6 linked regions of the Mus musculus genome follow. The protein of the gene in region 6 purifies or fractionates together with the protein of the main gene of each other region. This does not show direct contact. Links are inferred from orthologs where the notes say so. Each region holds a gene or a part of one and is shown on either strand. Other genes may lie near its edges.

Region 1 (4,173 bases), on a different chromosome or scaffold from region 6:
AAAAAGAAAAAGAACCAAAAGCATAAAAAACCACAGCAAATTTCTTGATGAGAACTGAAAATAAAAGTTTCCTTGTATTTTAGTGATCTGGTTCTGTGTGGGTGAGTGTGGGTTCCAGGTACCCCAGGAACTGGCTTATCCTGGAAGACTGCCTGTGCTCCTGACAGGGTGACATTCTGGCGAACAAGAGGCTTCTGGACCATTGTTTATAGGCTCTGATCTTTAGCAAACTGTTCGCAGAGCACTCCTGCAGGAAGTAGCCACTTGCCTGGTACAGTTGTGAAGACATTGGGCAAGTGTTCTACCATGGAATACATATGCGTGAATATGTAATTATAGAAGTATAAATTTTTTGAGGGTCTAAGTAACAACTGCCTGCCCCTGCCTCTCAAGTGGGGGAATTAAGGATGTGTTACCTTAAGTATAAATTTTTTGAGGGTCTAAGTAACTACTGCCTGCCCCTGCCTCTCAAGTGGGGGAATTAAGGATGTTACCGTACCCTAAAATTTTTTCCTTGGTTTATTGTTATCACTTTTTTTTTGTTTGAAGATTTATTTATTATTATATATGAGTACACTTCAGACACACCAGAAGAGTGCATCAGATCTCATTGCAGATGGTTGTGAGCCACCATGTGGTTGCTGGGATTTGAACTCGGGACCCTTAGAAGAGCAGTCAGTGCTCTTGACTGCTGAGCCATCTCTCCAGCCCCTTATTACTGGTTTTCTTTGAGACAGGGTTTCTTTGTGTAATCCTGGGTCCAGGAATTCCAGGCTGCCCTCAAGTTAAAGAGATTCACCTGCTTCTTGCAGAGGGCTGAGATTATAGAGAACTACCACTCTCTTATATAATTTGTACATAGCATCACTGTGCACGTGGAGGTCAAAGAGCAGCTTGTAGGAGTTTGTGCCCGATGCCACTAGATGGGTGGGTCCTGGACTCAAAGACTCAGTTCTGCAGGCTCGGAGACAAGCGCGTTTATCCGCTAAGCGGTCTCCCTGCTTGGAAGGAAGGCCGGCCGAGTGCGTGTTCCTATGTGAAAGGGTCCGGAGGGGAGGGTTACCTCTAAGGAAAGCGGCTCTAATACAAAACTTTGGGAACAGGAGGGCGAGGGGCGTGGGACCCCGCGATCTTGCGGGCTAAGGCAATTAGGGTGCCAGCGGGAGGGCCAAGTTGCGGTGCTAGGTGGAAGGAGCGTGCGGCCTCGGGAGTAGCGGGCGGAAGCCACCTTCCGAACCGAGGGCAGAGAAACGCTGACCGCAGCGCCGCGCGTTTCCCTCTCTGAACCGCGGGTGAGGGGCGTGTCCCTGGATCACGTGTGTTCCGGTGCCGCGGCCGGAAGAGGCGGGGCGTTGTGACGACCCTTTTTGCGCTTGCGCGATTCACTTTCGCGGTGTGCGACCTCTGAGTTCTTCCCCCCAGTGCACGTGGAGCGGGCCTTGACTGGAGGTGCCGGGTCAGCCGGAACCAGGTCTAGGCGAGCCGAGCCTTCAGGTGCGTCTGCAGGATCGCGGAGCAAGGTTCCGAGAGGGGCGTGGTGACGAGGTCCTGTGGGAGATCCTGGAGGGGGCCATCGGGGTCCTGAGTAGTGGTCCTGGGCCGGGCGGTACCCATCCCTGGTAATATCCTTAAGCCTACGGCCTGCGTTCCCATTTCAGCATCCACAACGTCGCTTTGCCTCGTTTGTCTTTGCTTTAGTTATCATGGGGCGCAAGTTGGATCCTACGAAGAAGGAGAAGCGTGGACCCGGCCGAAAGGCCCGAAAACAGAAGGGTGCGGAGACCGAATTGGTCAGATTTTTGCCTGCAGGTGAGGGTCGTAGCTCCCTGATCCCGGCCAGCCTTTGCCCCATTTTGTGCCATAACTTCTCGTTTGCGTGTTCGCCTTTACCTGCTGCATAGATGTGAGCTGTTAGGAGATAAATAGTTTGGGTTAGAGAAGGGTGGGAAGCTGCCACTGGGGCATGGTACTCGTGCGAGGAGCGGTGCGATCTTCCGTTTCCAGGAAGGGAGTTCTCATGAAGAATTTGGAAAGATGTTATTAAGCTTAGTTTTGGTAAGCAAGAGTTGGAAACGGAACAGACCGGTCACGAATTGTCCGGAAGAGATGGAATGAAAGCACGGATCTGAGCCCTCTGTGGTGAAGGATGATGGAAGATGCAGTTTGTTGAAATATTGGCAAGCCACAGGCCCATGAAGGAGATCCTCAACTGTATGGACACATGGTCTCACTTCATCGAATTTTAGAGTCCTGGGAGAGAGGCTTTGTTATTTGTTAGGTTAGAGGTGTCTTAACACACAGTAAGTGAAAAGGGACATTTCTTGTAGATTGTAAAACCAAAAATAGCAAAATTAAGTTCTAATTTAGTTGATAACTGAATAAGCTGAGAATAAGGGAAGGGCAGAAAAGGGGTTTGAGGTTACATTGTTATCAGAATGTCACTGTTTGAGTTTCCTTGCTGAACAGTCTGATGGCTGCTTCCTCTCCTCTACATCTTTTGGTCTTTTTTGGGGTGGGGTGGGGTGGGGGTGGGGGTTTCGAGACAGGATTTCTCTGTATAGCCCTGGCTGTCCTGGAACTCACTCTGTAGACCAGGCTGGCCTCAAACTCAGAAATCTGCCTGCCTCTGCCTCCCGAGTGCTGGGATTAAAGGCGTTCACCACCACACCTGGCTTCTTTTGGTCTTTTTAAGTTTTCTGGAAGTGATGGGAATGGAGCCTTGGGCTTTCCCCATACTCCGCACAGGCTGTACTATTGGCCTGTCTTTCACATCTCCTGTAACTCCTGGATGACTTGTATGGAGTGACTCCCATGGACTGTAGTTTATAGCCTTAGTCTTTCCTGCTGCCGTGGGTGAATATGAGGACTTGTACATAACAAACAAACTCGCTCTACCACTGCCACACTTTTCTTCGTTAACGTGGTGATTCTCTCTCTTCCTAATTACATGCCTGCCCCCAGTTTGTATTTCCTATAAATTCCTAATCTATCCCTTTTTTAAATTAACAGCTGGCGATGAGAATTCCAAGAGGCTGTCGAGTCGTGCCCGAAAGCGGTGAGTGTGAATCCGCTGGTTTAGTGAGATTGTAGCTGCTGGATCCATGGGTGAAGAGGGCTGGTTGTGCATTGTCTTGTTTCCTTGTGGTGGGAGGTGGCAGAACCCGGAGGTATGTTCCCTTGTCTTCACTTTCTGTATTCTTTCAGGGCAGCCAAGAGGAGGGCAGGGTCTGTTGACGTCCCTAAGCCAAATAAGTCTCCTGGGATCAAAACATTGCCTGGAGAGTTATCCAAAGGTTAGTGACTATAGGAGTTGGTTGCTCTGTGAAGAATCCTCTGGGACCTGGATAGGGCTAATTGTTTCTAGAATGGAAGGAACGGCAAAGCAAAATATATATATATGTACATATATATATATTTTTTTTTTTGTTTGTTTGTTTCTTTAAGATGCTGGAGATAGCTCAGGCCGTGGTAAGAGACAGATTTTCTCTGTGTAGCCTTGAGTATCCTTTAACTCACTTTGTAGACTAGGCTGGCCATGAACTCACAGAGATCCAACTGTTTCTGCCTTACTTTTGAAAAATCACAACTCAGTTTATTTTATATATATGAGTGTATTGCCTGCATATATGAGTGAGTGTCATGTGGGTGCCTGGTTCTGTGGAGGTCAAAAGAAGGCATCGGATCCCCTGGAACTGGAATTACAAATGGTTGTGAATCCCCACCATTCGAGTGCCAGGGCAACGCCTGCTCTTATCCATTGAGTCTTCTCTCCGGCCCTATTTTTACTCTTTCTTGTGTGTGTCCGAATGTGGTTGTGTGCTCGTGAGTGGGATGCTGAATCGACTGAGAGTTGGAGATATAGGTACTTGTGAATTGTCATATGTGGGTTCTGGGGTCTGTGCTTTTAACTGTTAAGTAAAGCCATCTCTCCAGCCCTCAGAGACCATGCTTAGGGCTAGAAAGTACAGGCTCCAGGGGTGTGAGGCAGGGTGTGGTTGCCGTCCATCCAGGGTTTGGCAAACCCTCACTCTTCTCAGGAGCAGTCCAGGCTCGAGGTAAGAAGCGCCCAGCACCAATTCAAAACAGTGATGGGGACGAGGAGGAAGACTCGGGGGAAGACGATGTGGTGACCCAGGGGGACCTTTGGGGCTCTGAGGACAGTGATGAAGATAT
Region 2 (3,500 bases), on a different chromosome or scaffold from region 6:
CCAAAATGGAAAAGACTTAAAACCATCAACACCGAGATCAAAGGTAAGTACCCAACAACAGACCTACTAAATTCAGTGCCTAAAAAAACTTTGTGCTTTGTGGTACTTAACCTTGCCTACATAATAGACTATAGTGCACACTAAGATAGCCCAATACATAAATTTGTGAAGTGTGTCATGTTCTGTGGTGGATTCCAAGGTTGACTTATTTTGTAGACTTGTTGAATTCTGACCTGTTATAGCTTTCACGATCTGGGTGGTGTGTGTGTATTTGTAGAGGTCAGGAGTTGTCTTAAGAGGCTTGTCAGGATTGATTGACTTTATTTTGAAGCATCTCTTCCAATCTTTTACTTTAAGATTTATTTATATAAGTACACTAGCTGTTTTTCAGACAGATGGTTGTGAGCTACCATGTGGTTGCTGGGAATTGAACTCTGACCTCTAACTGCTTATGCATCTTCAGCCCTCTAGTCCTGACAGGCTTTCTAGCTAGGAACAATTAGCAACTTCTCTGTGCTCTATAAGGGATTTTAGGGAGGAGGGAAATCTTGGTAATTACTTTGTTAAGAACTGTACTAATAATCTTTGAAAACTTTTTCCAGGGTCAAGAGTCCTTCAAAAAACAGGAAAAGACTCCTAAAACACCAAAAGGACCTAGTTCTGTAGAAGACATTAAGGCAAAAATGCAAGCAAGTATAGAAAAAGTGAGTAAAATTAACCTTTGAATATTAGAAATTCTACTAATGTGGGAATTTGGGTTAAAAGTAGATTATAAGTAAGAATATTCATAAATTACTCCAATAAAATGTATAAGGGTACTTTTTTTACTGGGGTTATGCTGTAGAACAAGCAGAGGGTGTTTTGTTTTCAGTAAAATTAAAAACAGCTGGAAAAGTAAGAGTAAAGTGGTTGGCTGCCTGAGGTTATTTTATAGCTAAGAAAAAAAGAATCACCTTTAAGTATTTCACAACAATTTGAGTTATTTCTGTGCCCTCTGTTCCAAAGCTCCCTCAGTCCATGACCTGAAATTTGTGTGTGTGGCTAATAGGCTTTCATCTAGTTTGAAATAGAATTTATCTTTCTTGGCATTTGGCTGGGACTAAATACATTTATATAAACCTGGGTTGTGTAGAATGGAATAATACAAATGATTTTTTTTTTTTTTGGAGAGCTAAGTTTATCTCCATTATGATTCTAACATGTGAATTACTTGAATACATGTGGAATGTTATGCAGATTGCCCATTCTTTTTCCTATTTTTTTCCTGTCTTGTAGTTCTCACATGGCTTCAGAAGATTTTCTTCCTTTGTGCAGCCACAAATGGATTGGAATTTAGCACTTGGCAGCACATTTCATATTTCTTATTAAACTGTAAACTTAAGTTTCCTGGTGTCACTGATTTATTTTTTATCCCTTGCATACACTGCTAAAATGATGCCCCTCCCCCCCATTTTAATGTGGTCCTATCTCCTTGGTTTAATTGCAGGCGCATTGAACATTCCTGGGCACTACTGGTAAATTAAGCCCAAAGATGGGGAAAGAGGAAAAGGAGAAACAAATATAGTACCATCAACAATCCAGACATCTCAATCCCCTTTCCTGATTGGCCATCCATTCCCCCTTGCAGGCTGGAAGCAATCTTGTTTTTCCTAAAGCATTTTTCTTTTACTTTTGTGATGCAGAAAACTACTTCTCTACCACTTGTGCATATGCCTCATTTCTTTGACCATGTTTTAACCTTTGTATCCTTAGCTACTCTCAATAAATTTTTAAATGAATCAATAAGGATGTATGTGACAATATTTTCAAATTACCGTAGTGAATTATTTTCTAGGTGATGAAGGCAATTGAGTACCTTAATACTCAAGGTGATTCTGGAATTTGGAAGCCTTAGTCTTGCTAAGTGCATAGAAATGCAAAAAGGTTAAAATTTAGAGAAGTGGATTTTATATGAAATAGGGGATAATCTGTAGTGACACTTTATGCTGATAAGTTAACATTTGCATTGCAGTATCTTAATTTGTAAGAATTTTGGCAGCAAAACTTGCTGATAATTGTGGTTTAGTCTACATTCATAATTGGAAGCATGCCAAATCGATGCTACAGTTAGTAATAAGGTACCTACTTTTAAATCCCTTCAATTGCGTGCTTTCCTAGGTAATTGGAAAACACTTATGAACAGGTCGTATCTAATTTGTTTTTTGGTGATAGGTGATAACATGAATTTGTATATTAGGCACCCAAGTGGCTGTACTTGCATGCCAGTAGAGCCCTCTGTAGTTTAAATTGGCTGTTTGGAAGGAACTGGGCATTAAGCAATAAAAAACCATGGTCTTTCTGGGTTTGGGCCCAGAGTTGGTTTTTTTTTGTTGTGTTTTGTTTTTCCAAGACAGGGTTTCTCTGGCTGTCCTGGAACTCACTTTTGTAGACCAGGCTAAACTCAGAAATCCGCCTGCCTCTGCCTCCCAAATGCTGGGATTAAAGGCGTGCGCCACCATGCCTGGCTTTAATGTTGGTTTTTAATCAAATGGGAATGTTAAAGGGTTATAGTTTGTGTAATGGCATGTAAAACTTTGGAAGTTTTTTCTAATGATGTCTCAAACAATTGCTGTTTGTCCTTAATAATGCTTTTTTTCCCCTCAATAGGGCGGTTCTCTTCCCAAAGTGGAAGCCAAGTTCATTAATTATGTGAAGAATTGTTTCCGGATGACTGACCAGGAGGTAACTGAATTTTCTGTGGACGTGACCAAATCTAAAATTTTCATTGATTTATTATGACTTTTAGTCTCAAGTTGTTGGCTCCTTGTAAAAAGTTCCTAACCACAGACAGTACTTAAATACATGGAAAGAATTTAATTGGCAGACTGAGCAAATAATTTTTTAGTGCACATTTTTCCCAGGTTTTAAATAGTTGGTAAATTATCTCTTGGTTACTGAACTTAGTTTTACTCTTAGTAGTGTATTGGCTAAGGAAATAGGATATGGTTTTTATTTGCTCCATTTGGCTGCTTTACAGTCTGATGATACTTGGACTCTTGGAAGTGGTAGTATCTTCTCCAGATAGCAAAGGAGGGTAAAATTGGTAGAATCAACCTAGATGGGTTAAAGCCTCTTGCATGTCAAGTTACTGTTATGTTTATTGTGGTATTAGGATACTTGGGCCATGCAAGGGCAAAGCACTACCAGTGATCTCTTCCCAGTGGTATGAATTTACAGTGTTAAATAGTAAATATAATGGGTTAATGTTAGACCTTCTGAATGAACAGTTGATTTAATTGGTTTCATCAGTATTGGCTATAGAGGTGTCTATTCAAAAAGAATTAAAAGGAACAATATAGCAGTAGAGTATTAAATGATAGTATTGCCTATTTAAATTATAGCTCCCAGGTTTGTAGTCAAAAGTGGTTAGGATTGAGGCAGACTGTCAATGATTGGAAGTAGTGATGTCATCAAATTCAGTCCTTTCGTGTTAGCTACAGATTGACCTAAGTTTTAGAATT
Region 3 (2,223 bases), on a different chromosome or scaffold from region 6:
CGAAGTGAGTTCCCAGAGTGAGAGTCTCCGGGAGGCCTGAAAACATGGCCAGAACAACATCCCATTCCCTTCCCTCACAAACAGATCTCAATAGATGATGAAGAGTTGGCACAGCATCCAGCTACAACTGAAGACATTAGAGTATGCTGTCAGGACATCAAAGTGCTGGGGCGAAAGGAACTTAGGTACACAGGTGTAAGGGCAACATGATGTTGGACTCTGGGGACCAGGATTTTGTTGTTTATGGCTAAACCCTGAAATCTGGAGTGTGGGCTTTTAAGGAAGAGACAGGGACAAAGATGGGGGTAGATTAGTCAGTAATAGTATTTCTTGGGCAGGTCTCTTCTGAATTGGAGAACAAAGCTTCGGCGATATGTGGCTAAGAAGCTGAAAGAGCAAGCAAAGGCATTGGACATCAGGTAAGGAGGAGGTAGCCAGGGTTAGGGAGGGTTGGGTGTGGGATCAAGTGTCTGGGAAAATAAACACACCTTTCGACTGGTTTGCCAGCCTCAGCTCAGAAGAAGAAGAAGAAGGTGATGAAGAAGAGGCAGTAGCTGAGACAAAGCAGGCGCCAGAGGAAGAAGAAGAGAGAGAGGAAGAACAGCTTAATCGGACTCTGGCAGAGATGAAAGCCCAAGAAGTGGCAGAACTCAAGAGGTGAGGGGTCTGAGGAGGAGTATATGAAAAGGGTAAAGGACACTCAAGTTTTGGAGACAAGCAGGTTAAATCCCTCAACATCTGATCAGGAAGAAGAAGAAGTTGCTTCGTGAGCAGAGGAAGCAGCGGGAGCGTGTCGAGCTGAAGATGGATCTGCCTGGGGTTTCTATTGCAGATGAGGGGGAGACAGGCATGTTCTCCCTGCGAACCATCCGTGGCCAGCAGGTAAGGGAGAGCTGGGCCATCGGTTTGAGGGCTCAGAGGTCGGGGGAAGCATCGAGTTAAATATATTGAGTGATCGTGGGGTTTGGTTGTTGTGTTTACCTATAAATACTAGAGGAGAAAAGGAGTACCCGAGACTCCAGAATGCTCAAATGAAACACCTCTAATATGATGACATCAGGAAGCTCTATAAACTAGAGTTAAGACCAAGAGTTCACATGACAGGAGATGAAGTTGTAATGCCTGTGTTACCAAGGGGGCACAATTGACTCACTGGGTTTAATGAGCACTGTGATTTGGGCTGCTGAAGAATAAGCCTTTCAAAGCAATCTCACAGCAAAATGAGCTTTTGTGGTGCAATGGCCTGGTCACCTTTATGACACAGGAGAGGCAATAGAGCAGGAACGGTTTAGTGCCAACTCCCCTTTTATTGTGTAACTTAAGTCTGTTTTCCCCACTTGTTAAATAAGAATACACCATACCATATGGAGAGGTTTAAAAAAATGGTTGAGTATTACCCCCAGAATGGTGTGATACTCACAGAGCAGCTCTGTCCACCAGGAGTAGAGGTTTTGGGGTTCTAATAGTAGTCAAAATCAACAGATGCAGTTTGATGCCTGTTGAGTGCTCCTTTATTTGGGATCAAATTACACAAATGTGAATTCTGTATGTCAAGTGGCTTTTGAGGGTTTTTTGTAAACTAGTCAGTATGTAGATCAGCGCCCTGTACATTTTAGACAGGTTGATTACTTCCTAGGTCACGGCTGCTGTGTAGGGACTATTATTTGCCAGTGTTCTTTCTTATTGATGTTGCTGAGCTAAGTTAATGGGCTTGGGAAGATGCTGCCTAAGTTCTTGAATCTATTTCAGTTATTAGAGGAAGTAACACAAGGAGACATGAACGCTGCAGACACCTTTCTGTCTGATCTGCCAAGGGATGACATCTATGTGTCAGATGCTGAGGACGATGATGATACTTCTCTGGAAAGTGACCTGGATCCAGAAGAGCTGGCAGGAGTCAGGACACACTCGGATCTGAAGGAGCAGAAGTAGTAAGGGCTCTCTGTTTGAGAGGAAGTGCTGCCCTCTGAGACAGAATTAACTAGTGTGGGCACGGACAAAGAAAGGCCTATGAGGTTGGTTGGGTCTCTTGAATCTGACCTCTTTCCTTTGGGTCTACAGCTTGCGGTTTACTCAAGTAGATGACAATAAAGAGGAAGAAGGAGAAAATCCATTGCTGGTACCACTGGAAGAAAAGGCAGTACTGCAGGAAGAGCAAGCTAGCCTGTGGTTCTCCAAGGTAGAGCTAGGGAGACTGGTGGGAAGTGGCACTCCCTAGAGAAG
Region 4 (3,500 bases), about 110 Mb from region 6:
CCTGGGGTTAATGAACTTAAGTTTGGTTTATGTAAGGTTTCTCTAATAGAGCCCCTAAAACCACAGGAATCATTTTTTGTGAATTTGCTTTTACCGGGGTTTAAGTCAGGGGATGGAAATTGTCGCTTTGTGACCACCACCTTCTTGAGGCCTACTGCCAACTGATTCCTCCCTGGAAGAGAATTTCCTCCCCTGGGGACTCCTCCCGCTGGTTGCCTCTCCTAGTTCCCTGAGCAATTCTTCCTCTTGGGAGACTTGTGCTGTCCCATCTGTTCTTTTGTTTGCGTGTGGGGAAGGAGAAGACGAGTCTTGCATTGTCCTGAGGAGGCTCGTGGGCTTTGGCGCTTTCTTTGTGGGTCATTGAGTCTCCTGGAACTCGTCTGGAATGTAACTGCCGTCTCCTGCAGGTGCCATGGCCAACACAGCCAGCAGCCTCTTTCTTTCCTTTTGTCAAGTGTTTCTCCTCAGTTCCTCCAGCTTCCTGCTAATCTTAGTAGCCACTTCCTCTGCCTGAGTCATGGCTTCTAAATCCTGTAGACTCTACAGTCTCATAGGATAGCTATTCCTCACTTGCTCTAGAGGTTGCTCCCCAAATACATCTGATTCTTGATGTATTACTGCACTTGTTTGACAGCTACCAGGAGATGCAATCTTTGTTCACTGTTCAGCTAGTGAGATGCAGTGAAAAATGAGTCCATATTTACTCCAGAAACTTGGTTCCAGCTCGAGAGCCAAGAAGTGGCTCAGATGCTAGGATGAGCCATCACTTGCATGTCAGAGACCATGTATTTCAACAGGTTTTTAAATTTACATCTTCTAAGCACCTTTAAAGTGTTGGGTTTTGATTTGGTTGGTTGGAGTCGGAGATTAACTGTGGAGTTCTGGCTGTCCCAGACTTGCTACCTGGACCAGGCTGGCCTTGAACTTGTAGCTGTCCTACCTCTGCTTCCCAATTACTAGGATTATAGGCACTCATCACCATGCCCAGCTTAAAGGGAATTTTTATTATTTATCTGTCTGGGTATTCTGCCTGTCTATGTGTTTGTGAACCGCATGCATGCCTAGTACCTGCAGAAGCCAGAATGGGGGGCATCAGAGCTTCTGAACTAGGAAATTGAAGCTGCCATGTGGGTGCTGGGAATTGAACCCAGGTCCAGTGCTCTTAGCCACTGAGCAATCTCTCCAGCCCCTACAGCCTTCCTAATGCTGCAACCCTTCTATACAGTTCTCATGCGGCGGCCCACAGCCATGAAATTATTTCATTGCTACTTCATAACTCTGATTTTTGCCTGTGTTATGATGCTGGGGCTTAAACCCACCTTTTTGTCTGTGTTGGGCATCCAACCCTTGGCTTTTTGGTTTCTTTTCTTTCTTTCTTGATTACTTTTATTTATTAGAATGGGGCAGGAGTGAATGTAGAAATCAGCTAGTTTGTTTTTTTTCCTTCCACCTTGTGTTTCCTGGGGTTGGAGTCAGGTAGACTTGGTAGGTAGTGCCATTGTCTGGTGAGTCATTTCACTGCCCTTGATTTTTGTTCTTGGAATGGCATGTCCTTTCAAATTCCCTTTCAAAGGATCTGTTAGTTTGCAGTGGTAGTCTGTTGTTTTGGTGTGGTTGGAAGTGTTGGTAGGAGATGGTTGGTGGTTGATACTCAACCTGGCCTTACTCTGTCTGTGTAACTGAAATTAACTTTGAATTGCTGATGTTTGTTTTTGTAATATGTTGTTGAGCTTTGTGGGACATTGGTATTTTCGTGGCATCCTGATGAGAGGGTTTTTTTTTTTTTTTTTTTTGGTTTTTTTTTTGGTTTTTCGAGACAGGGTTTCTCTGTATAGCCCTGGCTGTCCTGGAACTCACTTTGTAGACCAGGCTGGCCTTGAACTCAGAAATCCGCCTGCCTCTGCCTCCCGAGTGCTGGGATTAAAGGCGTGTGCCACCACGCCCGGCTTCTGATGAGAGTTTTTAAATTGCCCTCGTTTCATGGAATGACAGTCTGTTACTTAACACAGGTCAGTGCCAGGATCGAAATATAGACATTTGAACTCCAGAACCCACCCTATACTTATGACCATTCTGGGTGTGGGAATCCACTCATGAGCTGGTACAGGGGTTAGGAAGTCCAGACCAGTTCCTTTGCCTAGGCTGTGGAAATCAGGGCAAGTTCCTGGAGGCTTGTTCCTGGAGGTTGTTCCCACCCTTAATGTGTGAGGTGAGGTTGAGCTTGCCTGTGTTCTCCTCTGGCACTGGGGACTGAACCAGGGGAAACACGATAGGTTAGCACGGGCTTACATTGCTATTTTATTTTGAGACAGTTTTACTTAGTTGCCCAGACTGTCCTCATTATACTCACAAGATCCTGCCTCAGCCTCCTGTGTAACTGGGATTCCAGTCTGGGATTACCCAGACTGCTAGGGTTTTAATGAAGGAAAAAAAATCTGGCCCTCGCTGGTGTGTGCCAAATAAGACTGCCAATGAAATGAGAAATGAGTAGACAAATCCAGAACTGTGAAAGCCCAAAAGATAGCCTTCTTACCACCAGCGAGTACTACTGAATTCATTGTAGCCAGAATACTCAGGGATGTATCATACTAAGCCGAATTTTAAGGATACCAGAAAATCTATATTCCAAGCTGTGACTGTCTTATCTGTCTGTCTGTGTGTTAGTTTGGGGGATGGGGGCAGGGGCCAGCGGCTTTGAAATAGTAAAAGTTGCGACTGGGGCTTTTTAGGAGCTTGGTGATAGTTAGACTTAACTGCTCTTTTGTGGGTTTTTCTGTTACAGACTGGAAACAGCAAAGGCTATGCCTTTGTGGAGTTTGAGTCTGAGGATGTTGCCAAGATAGTTGCAGAAACAATGGATAACTACCTTTTTGGTGAAAGACTTCTATCATGTAAGTATTCTGACCTTTCTGCACTGTGATGGGATTACAAAGTTACTCGTGACATTGTACTCGGAAGAGAAGCTGACCCATCTTTAATGTGTGATTGGAAAGAATTTTGCTCAAATTGAAAACTGGTGGGGTTAAAGCCCAGCATTAGTGGTACACGCCTTTAATCCTGGCACTTGGGAAGCAGAGGCAGGCTGATCTCTCTAAGTCCAGAGGCATCCAATGCTCTGTAGAGACCTTATGTCATCAAAAAAGGAAAAGAAAACTGGGGGTTAGATAGGCATAAGCCAGGAAAAGGATGGCAGTGCAGCCTGAGGTCATTTCTTACCCAGTGAGTGGTGAATGCCAAACCAGAGGTCACTAACCTTTAGTTATTGGGATGTTAGGGGATTCAAATGGGGAGCAGAAGATGGGCTACAGGTCTGTGAGGCCTGGGTGCAGCCTCTTAGCCGAGTCTACACAGGGCAAGACCAAAAGTAAAGAATCACATTTCAAGATCAGACTCAGTGAGGGAGGTGCAGCCCTGGCCGTAGCCCGGCTCCGGGCTCAGTAAGAGGCAGTTTGAAAGAAGTGAAGCAGAGAGTAAGAGAGTAGAAAGTCTTCCTTGCCCTG
Region 5 (4,277 bases), on a different chromosome or scaffold from region 6:
ACAGGGTCTTACCATGTAACCTTGATTAGCCTGGAGCTATCGATATATACCAAACTAGCCTTGAATTCACAGATGTCTGCCTCCAAAGTGCTGTGATTAAAGGTGCGTGTCACCATTCAACTCCTGGGGTGACATTTTAATGAAGTGGTGGAGGTGAGGAAGCCAAAGGAACATCTTGTTTTGCTTGTTTGTTTGTGCTGTGTCGCCTCATCTAATCACAAGCATTTATAGCTTACTTTTCTTGAAACAGAGTTTCACTGGGTAACCTTATCTGCCTTGGAATTTGCTATGTAGCCAGGCCTGTCTCTGCCTCCCAAATACCAGAATTAAAGGTGCGTTCCACCATGTCCTGCCAAGCGCTTGTAGCTTCCTAGTTGCAATACATACACATTTCTTTACTATCCAAGTCCACTTTATTATCCAAGCCAGCTCCATTACAGGCAATGTACAGCCAACTTACTCCATTATAGAGAAAGTACAGCCGACTTACTCCATGATAGACAATGTACAGCCGACTTACTCCATGATTCTTTTTTCTCGCATAAGGCATAGACTATTTAAGAGAGACTATTCAAGTTTGGGATTTATTTTCTCTCTCTATTAGATATTTTCTGAATTTACATTTCAAATGCTATCCCCAAAGCCCCCAATACCCTCCCTCCGCCCTGCTCCCCAACCCAATCACTCCCGCTTCCTGGCCCTGGCATTCCCCTGTACTGGGGCATATGATCTTAGCAATACCAAGGGCCTCTCCTCCCATTGATGGCCGACTAGGCCATCAAGTTTGGGATTTATAATCCTAACACTAAAGTAAAGTGTCTTTTTATTTTCTTTTTTAAAGCAAAGGTGATTTTAAATTATCCACCTTGGTGTGCCTAAAACTGGCACTGAAAAAAACAGGAACGCAGCTCCTTGGAAGAATTCTGGGCCTACGCGGCCATGAGCAACCACGTGGTGCCGAGCAGCGCTGGGTTCTATGAATCAGGGAAAGGAACAGAACTAGGAAGAGGTAAACCGCTCTTGTCTATGCCTCAGCCCGCACCAACAATTTTGTTAACAACAAAATGTAAAAGGAAGAGGCAGGCAGCAAGAAGACGCCATTTCTGCAGGGTCTGAGGCCGGGTCCCACGAGGACCCGGAATATCTGGGCAGCGGGAAACCTGCGAGGCTTATCAGGAAGCCTCATGTCCCCTCACCGAGTTCTGCCGCCCGGCACACGGGTGACAAAAGCACGAGGAACGAAGAAGGGTGGTCTCCAGGCCACTCTGCGGCCTGCCGGCAGGAGCGACACCATTCACTACAGACGCAGTACCGGCTCGCGCAGCCGCAGAGGCTGGGCTTGGCAGGCCCGCTCGCGCCCGTGGTAGTCCAACCCGCCCGACGGACGATACCACACCCGCGAACCCCCTCCGAAGACCTGACAATGGTTTCGTCCGCAGCCTCTGATTGGTCAAACCGGAGAAGGTGTGGTCTCCGCAGTCTGGTTCCGCGCGCCAGAGCGCGCTAGCCGCATTGCGAGCTGGGCACGGAGCAGGCGCCATGGTGAGGAGTGGTGGTGGGGTATTTGCGTAGTGAAGGCCTTAGCGTGCGTCTGGGTTTGCATTCGGGGTCGTGCTCCGGGTCTGAGCCAGGGCCTGCTCTAGCAGCGGCCCCGCGGACTGGGAAGTTTGACTGATGGCCGCGCGCCGGTTCTTTTCAGGTTCTGCTGCACGTGCTGTTCGAGCATGCGGTCGGCTACGCGCTGTTGGCGCTGAAGGAAGTGGAGGAGATCAGCCTGCTGCTGCCGCAGGTGGGTGAGCTCGGTGGGCTCGCGGAGCTGCAATGCAGCCCCTAAGGCCGCCAAACCCCAGCATGCACCGCGTGTTCCCACGTGGCCGACCGCACCGGGCCCGGCGGGGGGGGGGGGAGCTCTAGAATGAGGGGACTCTTTAACGCGAATCTATATAATTGGAAGCGGTCGGAGATAAACATCTCATTTCCATTTCTTGAGAATTAAGATTCGGGGCCCAGGCACCAATTGCTACAACAGCTGGTGCTTCTGCCTTACTGCGCTGTAGAAGCCAAATTCAAAGAAAGCCCATTCATCCTTCTCTCCAGGTGGAGGAATGTGTGCTTAACCTTGGCAAATTCCACAATGTCGTTCGTCTGGTGGCCTTCTGTCCCTTCTCTTCATCCCAGGTGGCCTTGGAAAATGCCAATGCTGTGTCTGAAGGTGAGTCGGTCCCTCCGGAACATGGGATTCTGGGTGGTTGATGTTCTTAGATGATTTTCTTCTAAGCTTGATACAGTCTAGGGATTATTTGAGACCTACAGGATGGCATTTTAAAACATTAATATGCAGGGGCTGAAGAGATGGCTCAGCGGTTAAGAGCGCGACTGCTCTTACAGAGGTCCTGAGTTCAAATCCCAGCAACCACATGGTGGCTCACAACCATCCCTAATGAGATCTGATGCCTTCTTCTGGGGTGTCTGAAGATAGCTACAGTGTACATATAATAAATAAATCTTGTAATTTAAAAAGCACTTAAATGCTTTACAATTGTGCTCCTGGACCTGTGGTAGAGCCAGGCTTTGCAATGATGACTTATATATCTGTCAATCCCCTGAGAGATCACTGACGACTCCATGTGTCTGAGCAATGCCTGCGGGGATGGGTGTTAACTAATCCGATTGGAGACAGTCTCCAATCTGCAATGTGTGGTTTAGAGCTGTTTTCTTTGTCCCAAAGGTGTTGTTCACGAGGACCTCCGCCTGCTCCTGGAGACATACCTGCCATCTAAAAAGAAGAAAGTACTTCTGGGGGTTGGAGACCCCAAGATTGGTGCTGCAATACAGGAAGAGTTGGGGTACAACTGCCAGACTGGTGGTGTGATAGCTGAGATCCTTCGAGGTAAGAGTCCTATTTCATTTATTCTGTCCACCACGTGGATGCAGTGCCCACAGAAGCCAGCAGGGGGCCTACGGGCCTGGTGATGTGATCTGCTGTGAGTGGTTACTTGGGTCCTGGAGGATCTATTCTTAAAGTCCCATCTTCTTTTTAGGAGTTCGTCTGCATTTCCATAATCTGGTGAAGGGTCTGACAGATCTTTCTGCTTGTAAGGCCCAGCTAGGGCTGGGACACAGCTACTCTCGTGCCAAAGTTAAATTTAATGTGAACCGAGTGGACAACATGATTATTCAGTCCATAAGCCTCCTGGACCAACTGGATAAAGATATCAATACCTTCTCGATGCGCGTCAGGTAAGGTATAGAAGTCGAGCATGGCCGATGATTCATGTGGGTAAAATCATGGACCAAAGCAAGGCCTCCTTGTGCTTACCACAGGCTGTGTTCCTACACTGACTGTATAGAAAGAGGAGGCAGAATAAACCTACCCCATGTACACCTCAGCCTAGGCCACTGTGCCTGGTCTGTATTGTGAATGGGGAGACACGGGCCTGAGAGAGCTTGGGACCTGAGTTGAGGTTTGATAGCTGGATCAGAGAATGACTTCCTCTACAGGGAGTGGTATGGGTACCACTTTCCAGAGCTGGTGAAGATCGTCAATGACAACGCCACATACTGTCGCTTGGCTCAGTTCATTGGGAACCGCAGGGAGCTGAATGAAGAGAAGTTAGAGAAACTGGAAGAAATTACGATGGACGGGGCCAAGGCTAAGGCCATCTTGGATGCTTCTCGGTCCTCCATGGGTCAGTGCGGAGCGCGGCAGCCTGTATAAGGTACGAGACTCCTTGAGTATCTGGTCCCCCTGTTCACACTAGGTGTTTCCTAGGCATGGACATATCTGCTATCGACTTGATAAACATCGAGAGCTTCTCCAGTCGTGTGGTGTCTTTGTCAGAGTATCGCCAGAGCCTACACACTTACCTTCGCTCCAAGATGAGCCAAGTAGCCCCCAGCCTGTCAGCCTTAATTGGGGAAGCGGTGCGTCATGGGGAACACAAAGTGGGGGAGTGAAACTCAGCATTCTGTACCGCTATCCTTGTGGCTAGCATGTTGTCCCTAGTTGATGCATGGTGGGGAAGAGAAGAGGGGATGAGCCTGGGAGGTCAGGTTCCCACTTACTCACCTGACCTCCTCCTCGGATCTTTCTCCAGGTAGGTGCACGCCTCATTGCTCATGCTGGCAGCCTCACCAACCTGGCCAAGTATCCAGCGTCCACAGTACAGATCCTTGGGGCTGAAAAGGCCCTGTTCAGGTACCAGTGAGGGCGCCTGCTCATGTCAGGTGCTGCTTCTGGTGTCCACTGTTTTGTTTGGGGATTACAATGATGGCTG
Region 6 (3,850 bases):
CTAGAGTGCTGGGATTATACACCATACCCAGTTTAGTCTGCATTTTTTAAATGTCTATTTATGGGGGACGGGGAAGGCAGTGAAGGATGGAGATAACAATGATACCTGTATGAAAGCACCATATTGAAAATAATTACTTTGCATTCTAACCAAAAACTTAGTTTAAAAAATGGAACTGGACACTGGATATTGCATGCCTGAAACACTAATGCTTGAGAGAGAGGTAGGAGAATCAAGAAGTTCTCAGTGGTGGTGCACACCTTTAATCCCAGCACTTGGGAGGCAGAGGAAAGCAGATTTCTGAGTTCGAAGCCAGCCTGGTCTACAGAGTGAGTTCCAGGACAGCCAGGGCTATACAGAGAAACCCTGTCTCAAAAAATAACAAAAAACAAACAAACAAAAAAGAAGTCAAGTTCTCTTTCGATGTACAGGGAGTTCAAGCTCGGCCTCCGGTTCATGTGATCTAAACTAAAAAATAAATAAATCAGTAAAAGTCTACTTATGTGACAAGACAAAAAAACCAACCAAACAAACAAACAAACAAAACACTTTTTTGGATGACATTAGATGAACATGTGCCCATTCTAACACCGGACTGAGGTAAAAACCTATAAAAATAGATGGCAGTAAATAGTAAACTGAGATTTTTAACTCCCTAGGCCACCATGACTACTGAATAAAAACTATTTGGTTTTCACTGGATCTTAGCCTTCCTCCAAGCTTATTAACACATTTACCTTTAAAACACTCCTGGATACTACCAGAGTCTCCATCTTCCACGATTTTTCAGGCCTACACAAATATCACAGGAACAAACAATGGCATGGCCAGAATTGGTGCCCAGGCCACGTACAGACAAACTGCAAGCCCTACTAAGTCGCAAAACAATGCCTAACTTGGACAGGTATCCGTGGGATCTGTCTCCGCTCACACCTAGGGCACAGAGAACGGGCTATAACTCTGGGGAAATAATTTGTCTCGCCCCAAACACCTCTGTAATAGATTTACCCATAGACACTGTGGTGTAGACGCTCCATTCGGAAGCTACAATGCAGGCACTTCCAAGAGTTTGAGCAGCCCGCGTCCTACTGCACTACCTCTGCCCCACAGCATGCTGGGAAACGTAGTCCCAACCAGGTCCTGAGCTGGTTAGCCAACCCTCAGCGCCAGTCGGGCCAACATCCGGTGACGAATCCAAGTCCCGCCTCTAAGCCCATCTGCTGTCCAATGCCGCCCTCTGCCGGTCTTTACCTCCCCGCCTAGCTGTGAGCCGCTTCCAGACAACCCGGAAGTGATCTTTCCTCTTCCGGATTACGGGTCCGGACGTCCGCACGTGGTTGCCGGTTTAGGGTGCTGCTGTAGTGGCGATACGTCCCGCCGCTGTCCCGAAGTGAGGGATCCGAGCCGCAGCGAGAGCCATGGAGGGCCAGCGCGTGGAGGAGCTGCTGGCCAAGGCAGAGCAGGAGGAGGCGGAGAAGCTGCAGCGCATCACGGTGCACAAGGAGCTGGAGCTGGAGTTCGACCTGGGCAACCTGCTGGCTTCGGACCGCAACCCCCCGACCGTGCTGCGCCAGGCCGGGCCGTCGCCGGAGGCCGAGCTGCGGGCCCTGGCGCGGGACAACACGCAGCTGCTCATCAACCAGCTGTGGCGGCTGCCGACCGAGCGCGTGGAGGAGGCGGTGGTCGCGCGCTTGCCGGAGCCCGCCACTCGCCTGCCCCGCGAGAAGCCGCTGCCCCGACCACGGCCGCTCACCCGCTGGCAGCAGTTCGCGCGCCTTAAGGGAATCCGTCCCAAGAAGAAGACCAACCTCGTGTGGGACGAGGCGAGTGGCCAGTGGCGGCGCCGTTGGGGCTACAAGCGCGCCCGGGATGACACTAAAGAATGGCTGATCGAGGTGCCTGGGAGCGCCGACCCCATGGAAGACCAGTTCGCCAAGAGGACTCAGGCCAAGAAAGAACGCGTGGCCAAGAATGAGCTGAACCGTCTGCGGAACCTGGCTCGCGCGCACAAGATGCAGATGCCCAGCTCAGCCGGCCTGCACCCTACTGGACACCAGAGTAAGGAAGAGCTGGGCCGCGCCATGCAAGTGGCCAAGGTTTCCACCGCTTCGGTGGGACGCTTCCAGGAGCGCCTTCCCAAGGAGAAAGCTCCCCGGGGCTCCGGCAAGAAGAGGAAGTTTCAGCCCCTCTTTGGGGACTTCGCAGCCGAGAAAAAGAACCAGTTGGAGCTACTTCGAGTCATGAACAGCAAGAAACCTCGGCTGGACGTGACGAGGGCCACCAACAAGCAGATGAGGGAAGAGGACCAGGAGGAGGCTGCCAAGAGGAGGAAAATGAGCCAGAAAGGCAAGAGGAAAGGGGGCCGGCAAGGACCTTCGGGCAAGAGAAAGGGCGGCCCGCCGGGTCAGGGAGAAAAGAGGAAAGGAGGCTTGGGAAGCAAAAAGCATTCCTGGCCTTCTGCTTTAGCTGGCAAGAAGAAAGGAGTGCCGCCCCAAGGTGGGAAGAGGAGGAAGTAGCGTTCTCCCCTCGGGACCAGTTCTGAAAAGCTGGGACTGTACTAAAAGTTAACTTGGGCGGTATAGGTGGCCGCTGCCCTCAGTGACATTTGACATTAAAAGGACGGGTTTGCCTTCCCTCGAGTCAGTGCTGGACGAGTTAATAGAGACACTGACTGGAAATTGGTGTATTTTGAGAATTATAGAAATGATATAGCCAGAACCAGGAATAAGTTAAGGCCTGCCTTTTTATCTTGACTTTGGATACTGCGTTACAGTAGATTGGTTTCAACATTTTTGCATTATTTTTATAACAAAGCTTGTGTATTTATCAAAGCGGGGAGGGCGGGGGAAAATTATATCTACCTGTGATTTGCAAGTATTGTAAATGGATGCAGGTACCTGGTGTTGCTTTTAACTTTTACTGTCGGTAGAGGTTGCATGTGAAGCCAGTAACCTGGGCACCAATATGGAGTGTGCTTGAGAAAAACAAAGTAGTTACAGTGGTTCTAAAAAAGACCCCTTGTTTTAGGAAAACTTTGGCCCTAACTATAATATTAAAAGTATAGTGCTTTTTGGTGTTGGTTCAGGTGGTGCATTTGGCCAATGGATTGCTTTAAGTCCAGAAATAGTTGTCATTTTGTTTGTAACCGGTGGCTTTTGTTTAATTGGCTTGGGTTTTAGATATTGTCAAAATATCTGGCATTCACTATGGAACCAAGGCTGCCCTGGAACTCAGGGCCAAGTGCTGAGATTATAATCGAGCAGCAGATTTCATGTTTATTTCTGTCCTAGATGTTTTTCCCTGTTTCATTGTCTTATTTTGTTCTTAATAAACTTATCTTTGCATAATTAGTATTTGCATTATTTTTGTAAGTTATTAATAGCAATTCTAGAATTGAGGAAGGGGTGTTTTCTTTAAAGCAAGTTGGTCTGTCAGTTGCTAGCAGTTGGGAATTGGGTTGGAGGTTACTCTTAGTGTGGTTTCAGTTTTATAAGGTTACTTGTAGAAATGCAAGGAAAGCTCAACTTGTCTCTTAACTCATGGAAACACTGGATTGTTAGTGACTTTGGGTAAAGCTCTAACTAGGCTCATCTTTACTGAACTCTTCCACTGGAGAAGAACTATAAACTCTTCCAGTTTATAGTTCTAAGTATCCATGAGAACTTTATCAAAGCCAAGCTGTTGACAGCTAAAAGTAACCTCTAGCCCAATTCCCAACTGCTAACAACAGGACTTAACTTTCAGAGATTAATTTGGGGTTTTGGTTGGTCAGTTTGGGGCCTTTTTTTTTTTTTTTTTTTTTTTTTAAGTTTACGAAAAACCCAGTGGGGTTCTTGCCATTGAGACATTT

Evidence for each region.
Region 1: the proteins of Rrs1 (region 6) and Nop2 fractionate together in Homo sapiens (co-fractionation; 3 studies listed by BioGRID and IntAct, with this or other methods). This does not show direct contact. The link is inferred for Mus musculus from reciprocal best matches to the Homo sapiens genes RRS1 and NOP2.
Region 2: the proteins of Rrs1 (region 6) and Npm1 purify together in Homo sapiens (affinity purification with mass spectrometry; 3 studies listed by BioGRID and IntAct, counting the BioPlex papers as one, with this or other methods). This does not show direct contact. The link is inferred for Mus musculus from reciprocal best matches to the Homo sapiens genes RRS1 and NPM1.
Region 3: the proteins of Rrs1 (region 6) and Ftsj3 purify together in Homo sapiens (affinity purification with mass spectrometry; 3 studies listed by BioGRID and IntAct, counting the BioPlex papers as one, with this or other methods). This does not show direct contact. The link is inferred for Mus musculus from reciprocal best matches to the Homo sapiens genes RRS1 and FTSJ3.
Region 4: the proteins of Rrs1 (region 6) and Nifk purify together in Homo sapiens (affinity purification with mass spectrometry; 3 studies listed by BioGRID and IntAct, counting the BioPlex papers as one, with this or other methods). This does not show direct contact. The link is inferred for Mus musculus from reciprocal best matches to the Homo sapiens genes RRS1 and NIFK.
Region 5: the proteins of Rrs1 (region 6) and Nop56 purify together in Homo sapiens (co-immunoprecipitation; 3 studies listed by BioGRID and IntAct, with this or other methods). This does not show direct contact. The link is inferred for Mus musculus from reciprocal best matches to the Homo sapiens genes RRS1 and NOP56.

Annotation. Positions count from the first base shown.
Region 1 is NC_000072.6:125,130,510-125,134,682, forward strand, and holds the start of Nop2 (probable 28S rRNA (cytosine-C(5))-methyltransferase), read left to right. Parts: upstream 1-1,373; 5' UTR 1,374-1,494; exon of another isoform or gene 1,495-1,520; intron 1,521-1,698; 5' UTR 1,699-1,703; coding exon 1,704-1,809; intron 1,810-3,009; coding exon 3,010-3,055; intron 3,056-3,204; coding exon 3,205-3,293; intron 3,294-4,037; coding exon 4,038-4,173. UniProt on the Homo sapiens protein: S-adenosyl-L-methionine-dependent methyltransferase that specifically methylates the C(5) position of cytosine 4447 in 28S rRNA. Required for efficient rRNA processing and 60S ribosomal subunit biogenesis.
Region 2 is NC_000077.6:33,153,207-33,156,706, reverse strand, and holds part of Npm1 (nucleophosmin), read left to right. Parts: coding exon 1-43; intron 44-602; coding exon 603-704; intron 705-1,486; coding exon of another isoform or gene 1,487-1,495; exon of another isoform or gene 1,496-2,646; coding exon 2,647-2,721; intron 2,722-3,500. UniProt on the Homo sapiens protein: Involved in diverse cellular processes such as ribosome biogenesis, centrosome duplication, protein chaperoning, histone assembly, cell proliferation, and regulation of tumor suppressors p53/TP53 and ARF.
Region 3 is NC_000077.6:106,250,862-106,253,084, reverse strand, and holds part of Ftsj3 (pre-rRNA 2'-O-ribose RNA methyltransferase FTSJ3), read left to right. Parts: coding exon 1-4; intron 5-84; coding exon 85-185; intron 186-338; coding exon 339-419; intron 420-507; coding exon 508-657; intron 658-746; coding exon 747-882; intron 883-1,749; coding exon 1,750-1,931; intron 1,932-2,061; coding exon 2,062-2,179; intron 2,180-2,223.
Region 4 is NC_000067.6:118,324,843-118,328,342, forward strand, and holds part of Nifk (MKI67 FHA domain-interacting nucleolar phosphoprotein), read left to right. Parts: intron 1-2,782; coding exon 2,783-2,891; intron 2,892-3,500.
Region 5 is NC_000068.7:130,272,935-130,277,211, forward strand, and holds the start of Nop56 (nucleolar protein 56), read left to right. Parts: upstream 1-1,477; 5' UTR 1,478-1,539; coding exon 1,540-1,542; intron 1,543-1,699; coding exon 1,700-1,789; intron 1,790-2,097; coding exon 2,098-2,212; intron 2,213-2,580; exon of another isoform or gene 2,581-2,639; intron 2,640-2,728; coding exon 2,729-2,890; intron 2,891-3,041; coding exon 3,042-3,240; intron 3,241-3,302; exon of another isoform or gene 3,303-3,435; intron 3,436-3,501; coding exon 3,502-3,689; intron 3,690-3,772; coding exon 3,773-3,924; intron 3,925-4,097; coding exon 4,098-4,198; exon of another isoform or gene 4,199-4,277. UniProt on the Homo sapiens protein: Involved in the early to middle stages of 60S ribosomal subunit biogenesis. Required for the biogenesis of box C/D snoRNAs such U3, U8 and U14 snoRNAs. Part of the small subunit (SSU) processome, first precursor of the small eukaryotic ribosomal subunit.
Region 6 is NC_000067.6:9,544,106-9,547,955, forward strand, and holds Rrs1 (ribosome biogenesis regulatory protein homolog), read left to right. Parts: upstream 1-1,302; 5' UTR 1,303-1,418; coding exon 1,419-2,516; 3' UTR 2,517-3,350; downstream 3,351-3,850. UniProt on the Homo sapiens protein: Involved in ribosomal large subunit assembly. May regulate the localization of the 5S RNP/5S ribonucleoprotein particle to the nucleolus.